Xenopus tropicalis: one gene and its partner. Each later gene encodes a partner of the first gene's protein in a complex. Links are inferred from orthologs where the notes say so. Each region holds a gene or a part of one and is shown on either strand. Other genes may lie near its edges.

The links.
Region 2: the proteins of ranbp9 (region 1) and gid4 are in contact, whole or in part, in a cryo-EM structure (PDB 7NSC), measured with the Homo sapiens proteins. The link is inferred for Xenopus tropicalis from reciprocal best matches to the Homo sapiens genes RANBP9 and GID4. Residues at the interface, in NP_005484.2 of Homo sapiens: Ser223, Lys224, Gly225, Arg226, Asp227, Gly228, Tyr229, Met230, Gly256, Asp257, Thr274, Phe275, Thr276, Thr277; in NP_076957.3 of Homo sapiens: Leu187, Arg189, Asp194, Glu195, Asn216, Asp218.

The regions. Positions count from the first base shown.
Region 1 is NC_030682.2:91,825,629-91,829,447, forward strand, and holds part of ranbp9 (ran-binding protein 9), read right to left. Parts: intron 760-3,819; coding exon 592-759; intron 1-591. UniProt on the Homo sapiens protein: May act as scaffolding protein, and as adapter protein to couple membrane receptors to intracellular signaling pathways. Acts as a mediator of cell spreading and actin cytoskeleton rearrangement.
Region 2 is NC_030685.2:15,291,298-15,295,641, forward strand, and holds the start of gid4 (glucose-induced degradation protein 4 homolog), read right to left. Parts: upstream 3,101-4,344; 5' UTR 2,940-3,100; coding exon 2,763-2,939; intron 1-2,762. Other genes in the region: atpaf2 (ATP synthase mitochondrial F1 complex assembly factor 2 precursor), read left to right, coding at 3,449-3,545.

The DNA of each region.
Region 1 (3,819 bases):
CTTGGGCACAAGTTCTTGGTAAGTGAGCACTGAGAAGCGCAGTATAGCACTTGCACCCCTGCCATGTGCCAGTAGTTCAAACTGCCCTGCCTTATCTGAAAGGCTCACTAAAATAAAAGCTTATGGTAAACATGGCATTTTCATAATTTTAATGCCTCCTTAACTCACTGTTAAATCAGCCACAGCCTTTCCAAGCAATGGTGCAGTAAGGATAATAACACACACTGCATTACTCCATGGGGCACAGCTTTGTGTTTCTGTACTGAAATCCTGCCCTCAGTGCTTTTTTTACATGAGTGTAGAAAATGTCATGTTTGCCATTATCCTTACTGCATTCAGTGAGAGAGATAAGAAGGATTATCTAAGGTGTAGTAGCCAATGAATGATATTATTATAAGACCCCAATGTGACAGAAATGTTCACTATTGTGTGTTATTAACATTTATGAAAAATTAAATGTTAAGTGGAATTGTAATAAAAGGGGGTCTTGTGCGATGACTTTTCCTTTAAACTCCAACCTTCTCTCACATATTATTTCTACTTGTGCTACTAAAGGAAAAAGCATTTACAGTTTCCTATGCAGAGTGTTACCTAAACTGTGTCCATTCTTGGTATAGAAGCAGGTGTTGTCAATCAGGTTGACACAACAGCCGATGACATCCCCAGTTGTGAACGTTGGCCCATATGGCTGTCCAGTGCCAGAGGAACAGAACGAATGCCCATCATCACCGTGGTAACCATAGGAATGCTTGTCCCAACCTTAGGGCGCATAAGATAGATATGAAATCAGTGTAAGACAACACTGTAAGAACATCAATAAAATACATGAATCTTAGTAAAAAAAATTTGCAGTAAGTAAAACATTCACAGTCAGATTTAAGGACATGTTCCTCCTTGGTTAATCCTTGCTAGTGTATCTTGCGTGTGTCTCTTGCTCTACAAGGGTCACTTAAGTCAGACAGAATTACTTGTTAAACAAATTCAGCAAGAATGACCCCTGCATGACCAGTACCTAAGTGGTAAAGAGTGGATGCTTAATCATGCAGAGTAGTACTGAAAGCTGCTTACACAGGAATCCTAAACTGCTGTGCAGCATCAATTTCTGTGAAAGTCTTAACATTTTACCATCTTTTGATTTCATTTTGCAAACTTCCCAGCCATAAATACCCATTTTGTAAGTGAGATTCATTTCTTCTTCACATGCTTTAATCTCATGCAGAAAAAAAGTATTAAATATACAATACTGTATATAGAATGGCTATTGATGATTGATAAAACACTGTGCGTTAATGGGGTCTTGTTTTGTTTTGGTTTTTTTTGCATAATGAATGATTATTCTCAGCAACTTTCCAATATACTTTAGTTAATGATTTTCAATGTAAGTCAGTCAGGAGTCTGTTTTCTTTAAAGTCTTTTAAAGAATATAAACAGTGAGAACTGGTAGTGCTTTTTAACAGCAATTGCATCTACACATATATATAAAACCAATGAACATTTGTAATGAACGTATAATAGAAAGTTGCTTTGAGTTACATATTCTTTTGCTGTGCAAAAGTAAGATATAATTTACCTAATATCACCTAGCATGCAATGTGGGGTCCACAGGGCTAAACCACCCCAATCAGAGTCATTTGCCTGACTTTCCAGCACCAGCTTGGGAATGTTCCAAAAACTACATGTAAATGACAATTAAAGCATAGTATCTAACAAGTTTTTGTAATAAATAAAGCATGGATAGGACTCTTCCCTCCTCACCAGGGACACAACATAGAGAGTGAACAAGTGTTCCCTTCTAATGTGGTTCAAGGAGGTCTTGCTCAAATTGTCTGTCCAATGCTGTGCATAATACTCTAAAGTTATCTGTATGACATGGCAGACATGGAGTGCATCCCGTCCATATCACTGACAGGAGCCGATATCCAGGGGAAAGCTATTAGGAAGTCAAACGAAAGGAGAGAAGCAATGTAAGAACAACATTAAAATCCAAAGCAGGCATGGAAAGCACTTCTCAAGGTGGCATCTGTAGGAGTCAGCACCTGCATAGTCAGATAACCTTAGGGAACTGCTAACCTAAAAGTCTGTTATTAGCAGTCGAAAACTGCTTATATAGGTATGGTACAGGTATGCTTGGGATCTAGGGTCTTCCGGATAAGGGATCTTTCCCTAATTTGAATCCCCATACCTTAAGTCTACCAAAAAATAATTTAAACATTAGGTAAACCGAACAGGATTGTTTTGCCTCCAATAAGGATTCATTATATATATTTATATGTATTAAAGGCACTGTTTAATTATTACAGAGAAAAGGGAAATTATTTTTAAAATACTTTAATTATTTTATTAAAATGGACTCTATGAAAGATGACTTTCCCGAAATTTGGAGCTTTCTGCATAATGGGTTTCCAGATAATGGATCCCATACCTGTATATTGTTAATCATTGAAAATAAAAGAATAAACTGCAAATGTGCTCAAAAGAGCAAATTTATATTGTTTGATCAGGTCCTTTTTAATATATACCTACTAAATATGATTAATATGAAGTTCATTCTTCTCCAGCACTTGGCTAATATATATGTATGGCATACACACTAAAACTAGTGCTTTTAGACCACAAGTACCGACACAGACAATAAATGACAATAAGAATAAGAAACAAGCATCAAGAAAAATTAGTAACCAGCCCTACAGCTTGCAATAATTATATAATAATTCCTGTAAAAATAAATATATAGGATAATAACCAATTACAAATGGTCTTAACTTTTAGTATGATATCGACATTGGTATTTTAAGACAATCTGCATTTGGTTTTCATTTTTTATTTTTTTTTGGTTATTTGAAGAGACTGAAATATGAATAGGATACGGCATGAGTAAAAAGACAAGAAATAAAACGTCACAATAATAATAAAAATCATATCCCCACAGAGCAAACATTTTCTGACTGCCAGTGCCAATGACACCCATTTAAAACTGGAAAGATGTAGAAGAGGAAGGCAGATAATTTAAGAATTAAATAAAAAATAAAGACCAATTGCAAAGTTGCTAGGAATAGCTAACTTAAACTAAACCACCCCTTTCAAATACAACTGTCTGCATGATACTAAAGATGAATTCTAAGTAGAAATGCTCCTTTTAAGTGACTCGGACACCTGCATCTATGTAACATTTGTGAATTAAAGGAACAGTAACACTAAAAAAGGAAAGAGCTTTAAAGTAATAAAAATATAATGCACTGTTGCCCTGCACTGGTAAAACTGGTGTGTTTGCTACAGTAACACTACTATAATTTATATAATAAGCTGCTGTGTAGCCACGGGGGCAGCCATTCAAGCTGGAATAAAGGAGAAAAGGCACAGGTTACATAGCAGATAACAGATAAGTTATGTAGAATACAATAGTGTTTTATCTGTTATTTGCTATGTGCCTGTGCCTTTTCTCCTTTGAATGGCTGCCTCCATGGCTACATAGCAGCTTATTTCTATAAATTATAGTAGACTTTCAGTAAACACACAACTTTTACCAGTGCAGGGCAGCAGCACATTATATTTTAGTTACTTTTATACACTTTCATTTTTTGGTGTTACTGTTCCTTTAAACTGCCTAGGTGTTATAGAAACCATTTCCATGGTAACTGCTCCTAAGGGCTAATGAGGCAAATAAAGAGACAGAGCAAAGTAGTTGGTTGGATCCTAGGCAGAGCCTTCTACTCTTATGGACCTGCCTAATGATTGACAAACTACCCTTCCAGTAAGAATTCTTATATGACAGTTGCACCCTGTCAAGAATACTTAGCAGCAGTCCTCTCCCAGGACAAA
Region 2 (4,344 bases), on another chromosome or scaffold:
GTTATATTTAATGTGCATAATGAGCAAGTGCCCCAGATGACTTTATGCCCATCTGTATGACACAGGGGTCCTTATGACTTCTTGTGGGAGAGACAATATTTATATACAAATGCAGTGTGTAAATCACATGGCCATTTCCAGCCAATGTGTGTGCAGGTGGGGGACACTTGCACCGTGCAGCCTCAGTAACAGTGAGATTAATGGTGTATGTAGCCCCTGGGAGCCCGGAGGGAGCCCAGAGTGCAGCTGAGCCGCCCGAGCCCATTCTCTGTGCAGGGAGAGAGCAATAGAAACCCTGGCTCAGCTGAAAGCAAAGGCTGCCCGTGGGCAGAGGCAGGAGCGCCGGCACATTAGGTCACGTTAGGTCACAGCACTGGCAGACTGTTAGGGCTCGGCGACACAAATAAGGGCAAGAGAGAGACAGATAAAGGTGGTACCAGCCCGGCACAATCCCCCCCCTGGCACCCGTATTCTCTCCCCGATTATGCCCTGCGTGGATGCAAATCCCTCCTTGTTTAATTCTTTTGCTGGGCCGAGGGCAGCGATCCAGGAGGGAGTAGGGAGCTCTCCCAGGGTGCCGCTCACACTATATATGCCTATTTATGGCCGGCTACTTCCATAGCCAAATCAGAGGTGAGCGCCGCTAGGAAAGGGGCCCCGTGCCCGACTCTGAGTAAGGGCCAAACACTTAGATTAATAGGAGGCAATGAATTAAAGCAGAGAATATGCCATATGACAGTGGACAACCTAAGCTGAGGGGGGGGGGGGGGGGGGGAGTTGTAAGGGCTGTAAGTTGTACCCGTCGAAAATAAAAGCTTATAGACATTTAGTTTTCGAGATATTAGCAGTTTTAACACTGTGTTATAATGAATATGACACAGTGCCCCATTCTGTTCTTCCCACTGGCTGCAGCCGGCAGAGGAAAGTTCTGGGGATGTCTCTGTGCTCAGAACCGACCAGAGAAATGTCACATGACTCTTCCCCGCTCACTAACTTCACTTGCAGCAGGGAGTGCAGGAACCTGTGTGGGCTGCAGTGTATAGGAGTAGCGGCTGTGCCCAGGCTATGCCACCATTCTGTACCAGCAGGCACATATAATACTCAGTACCAGCAGGCACATATAATACTCAGTACCAGCAGGCAGATATAATACTCAGTACCAGCAGGCAGATATAATACTCTGTACCAGCAGGCACATATAATACTCAGTACCAGCAGGCACATATAATACTCAGTACCAGCAGGCACATATAATACTCAGTACCAGCAGGCACATATAATACTCAGTACCAGCAGGCAGATATAATACTCAGTACCAGCAGGCAGATATAATACTCTGTACCAGCAGGCAGATATAATACTCTGTACCAGCAGGCAGATATAATACTCTGTACCAGCAGGCAGATATAATACTCTGTACCAGCAGGCAGATATAATACTCTGTACCAGCAGGCAGATATAATACTCTCTCACACCGAGCTTTAGTGTAAAATTTACTGAAGCATTTCCCCCCCCCAAACCAACTCCATCCACCAATCACACGCTCTCTAGAACTGCGGCTCCCATATCTACCTCCACAGGAAATGTAGAGAAGAGATTCCTTGCCCTCTCTATACTCTCCCCTGTTACTGTAACCCACAAGGGTGCTACTACTCTCCTGTCCCCCCAAGTAATACCTTCATGGCAGGTTCCCATGACTCTCCTTCCCCCACCTACTCTGCCATACTCTCCCTATTCCTTTCCAGTTAGGGTTCCACCATTGTGCTCACTGTACAAGGGGGAGACTATTGTTGGCGCTCACTGTACAAGGGGGAGACTATTGTTGGCGCTCACTGTACAAGGGGGAGACTATTGCTGGCGCTCACTGTACAAGGGGGAGACTATTGCTGGCGCTCACTGTACAAGGGGGAGACTATTGTTGGCGCTCACTGTACAAGGGGGAGACTATTGTTGGCGCTCACTGTACAAGGGGGAGACTATTGTTGTGCTCACTGTACAAGGGGGAGACTATTACTGGCGCTCACTGTACAAGGGGGAGACTATTGCTGGCGCTCACTGTACAAGGGGGAGACTATTGTTGGCGCTCACTGTACAAGGGGGAGACTATTGTTGGCGCTCACTGTACAAGGGGGAGACTATTGTTGGCGCTCACTGTACAAGGGGGAGACTATTGTTGGCGCTCACTGTACAAGGGGGAGACTATTGTTGGCGCTCACTGTACAAGGGGGAGACTATTGTTGGCGCTCACTGTACAAGGGGGAGACTATTGTTGGCGCTCACTGTACAAGGGGGAGACTATTGTTGGCGCTCACTGTACAAGGGGGAGACTATTGTTGGCGCTCACTTACCCAGCAGCCCTGGCTTCTCTGCTCTCAGTCCCAACATGATTCACAGCAGAACCCTATGACTCTCCTACCCCCTCCCTCCCTCCCTGCCATAACTCACCCCCCTACCTCCCAAGCCAGGGCCCCAGTGCCTACATGTCCTGCTCCGGCCACCCTTCCCTGGCTAGGGGTCCCTCCCATAACCCTTCCTACCCCACTCCCATTGCCCCTCTATTCCCATCATTCTACCCTATCCCTGCTCCTCTCTTGCCCCTTCACCTGCTCTCCCCCAATAAACCTCTTGTTAAACAACCCCCCCCCCCCCCCAGCCCCTCTACCCAGGATTCCCTGCCGCACATCCCCCCCCTGTGCCCACACACACACACACACACACACACACACACTAGCCAGGCTGCAGTCGGCCCCGCCGGGCCTCACCTGAAGCACAACTTCCACATCGTACGAGTTGCCTTTGCTCTTCTGGTGGCCCCGGAACTTGGAGCCGCTGTAGAGGAGGGTGGTGGCCACGCCGGGCTGCTGGGTGTTGATGGGAGGAGGAGGAATAAGAGAGGAGTATCCGGAGGCCGCGCTGTTGGCCTCGGTACGGACCGGCATATCCAGGGCCGAGCCCCTCTCCCGCTGAGGCGGCTCCACACTAGGGCTCGGCCACTTCTCCACTCCCGGCCCGAGCACCTGGGCCTCTCCAGCACCGCGCAGTCCGATTGGCTGAACGAAAGGCCGCCCACCGCGCAGCACCGCCCCCAATTGGCTAAAGCGGTGACTCGGCGCCGCCGGGAAATGTAGTCTAGCTAAAACTGACCAATGGAGACCAAGAAGGGCTCGGATTGGCTGCTTGCCGGACGTGACGACAAAGAACAAGTCAGGGTCACCAAGATGGCTGCGCCCGGGTGAGCAGGCTTTCTGTACATAGGGGCTGGGACTGGCAGCGTGTTCTCTCTGGGTGTAATGAGCGCTGAGCCTTGTGGGAAGCCTTGGGGAGAGACCATTTCACAGCGGCAGAGGGGTGGTCGCTAATAAATATCTACTGATAATCCTTTGCCCCTCGGCAGGTGCTGATGGGAGAGAGTCCTGAGCAGAACCACTGACCCCTCCCTTACTATACCATGCTGCCCAGTCTGCTAGCGATCACTGCCCGGAGGCTGCGTGTATTCCCGGCGGCACTTTGCGCTCAGACGCGTCTCTATGCAGCCGCTGCTACCGGTAAGTGGCACCAGGGAGTGGAAAGGGAGAAAAGGGGATTTGCCAGTGCATTATACTCCTGTAAATATAAAAGCAATATGTCATTAAGGGATATATATATATCATGCTGTGTAAAAAGTGGAGTAAAACATCACCGGTGATGTTGTTTATAGCAGCCAATCAGATGCTTTGGTTTTCTAACTGTTGAAATGTAATTGCTGATTGGTTCCCCAGGGCAACATCACTGGTAATGTTTCACTCCACTTTTTACACAGCATGATAAATATACCCCTAAATATTCCATTTTCTGCTCATTTAAACCCTACTAGTCCCGCCCATGGGTTCCACTTCCAGCCCTACAGGGAACAGTAGCAGATCTAGTATAAACGGAGAGCTGTGATTGGCTGCCTGCCTCCTACTGAGCTTTTGGCAGAGACCATTAGGGCATGGCATTATGGGGGCCCATCAGACACATGGCGACACAAGGATGAGAACTGATTGAATGGGAAAGTGTCTTGGTGGGGGGTAGAAATCCTGCTGAAGAAAGGGGGCATTTTTAAAGCTAACAATAATCCCCCCCCCCCCATTTTTTTAAATTCCACCTCTCCAGTCTATACCATTCCTTTAGCTCTAATGTTACCTATTCCCCCAATTCAGTGTAGCTCCTTCCAAATGTCCTTCTCCAGAGCCCCCACTTATGCTGGACTTTTGTGCCTTCTCTCTTACTGCCCCCTCCGTGTTACTGCCCCCTCCGTGTTACTGCCCCCTCCGTGTTACTGCCCCCTCCGTGTTACTGCCCCCTCCGTGTTACTGCCCCCTC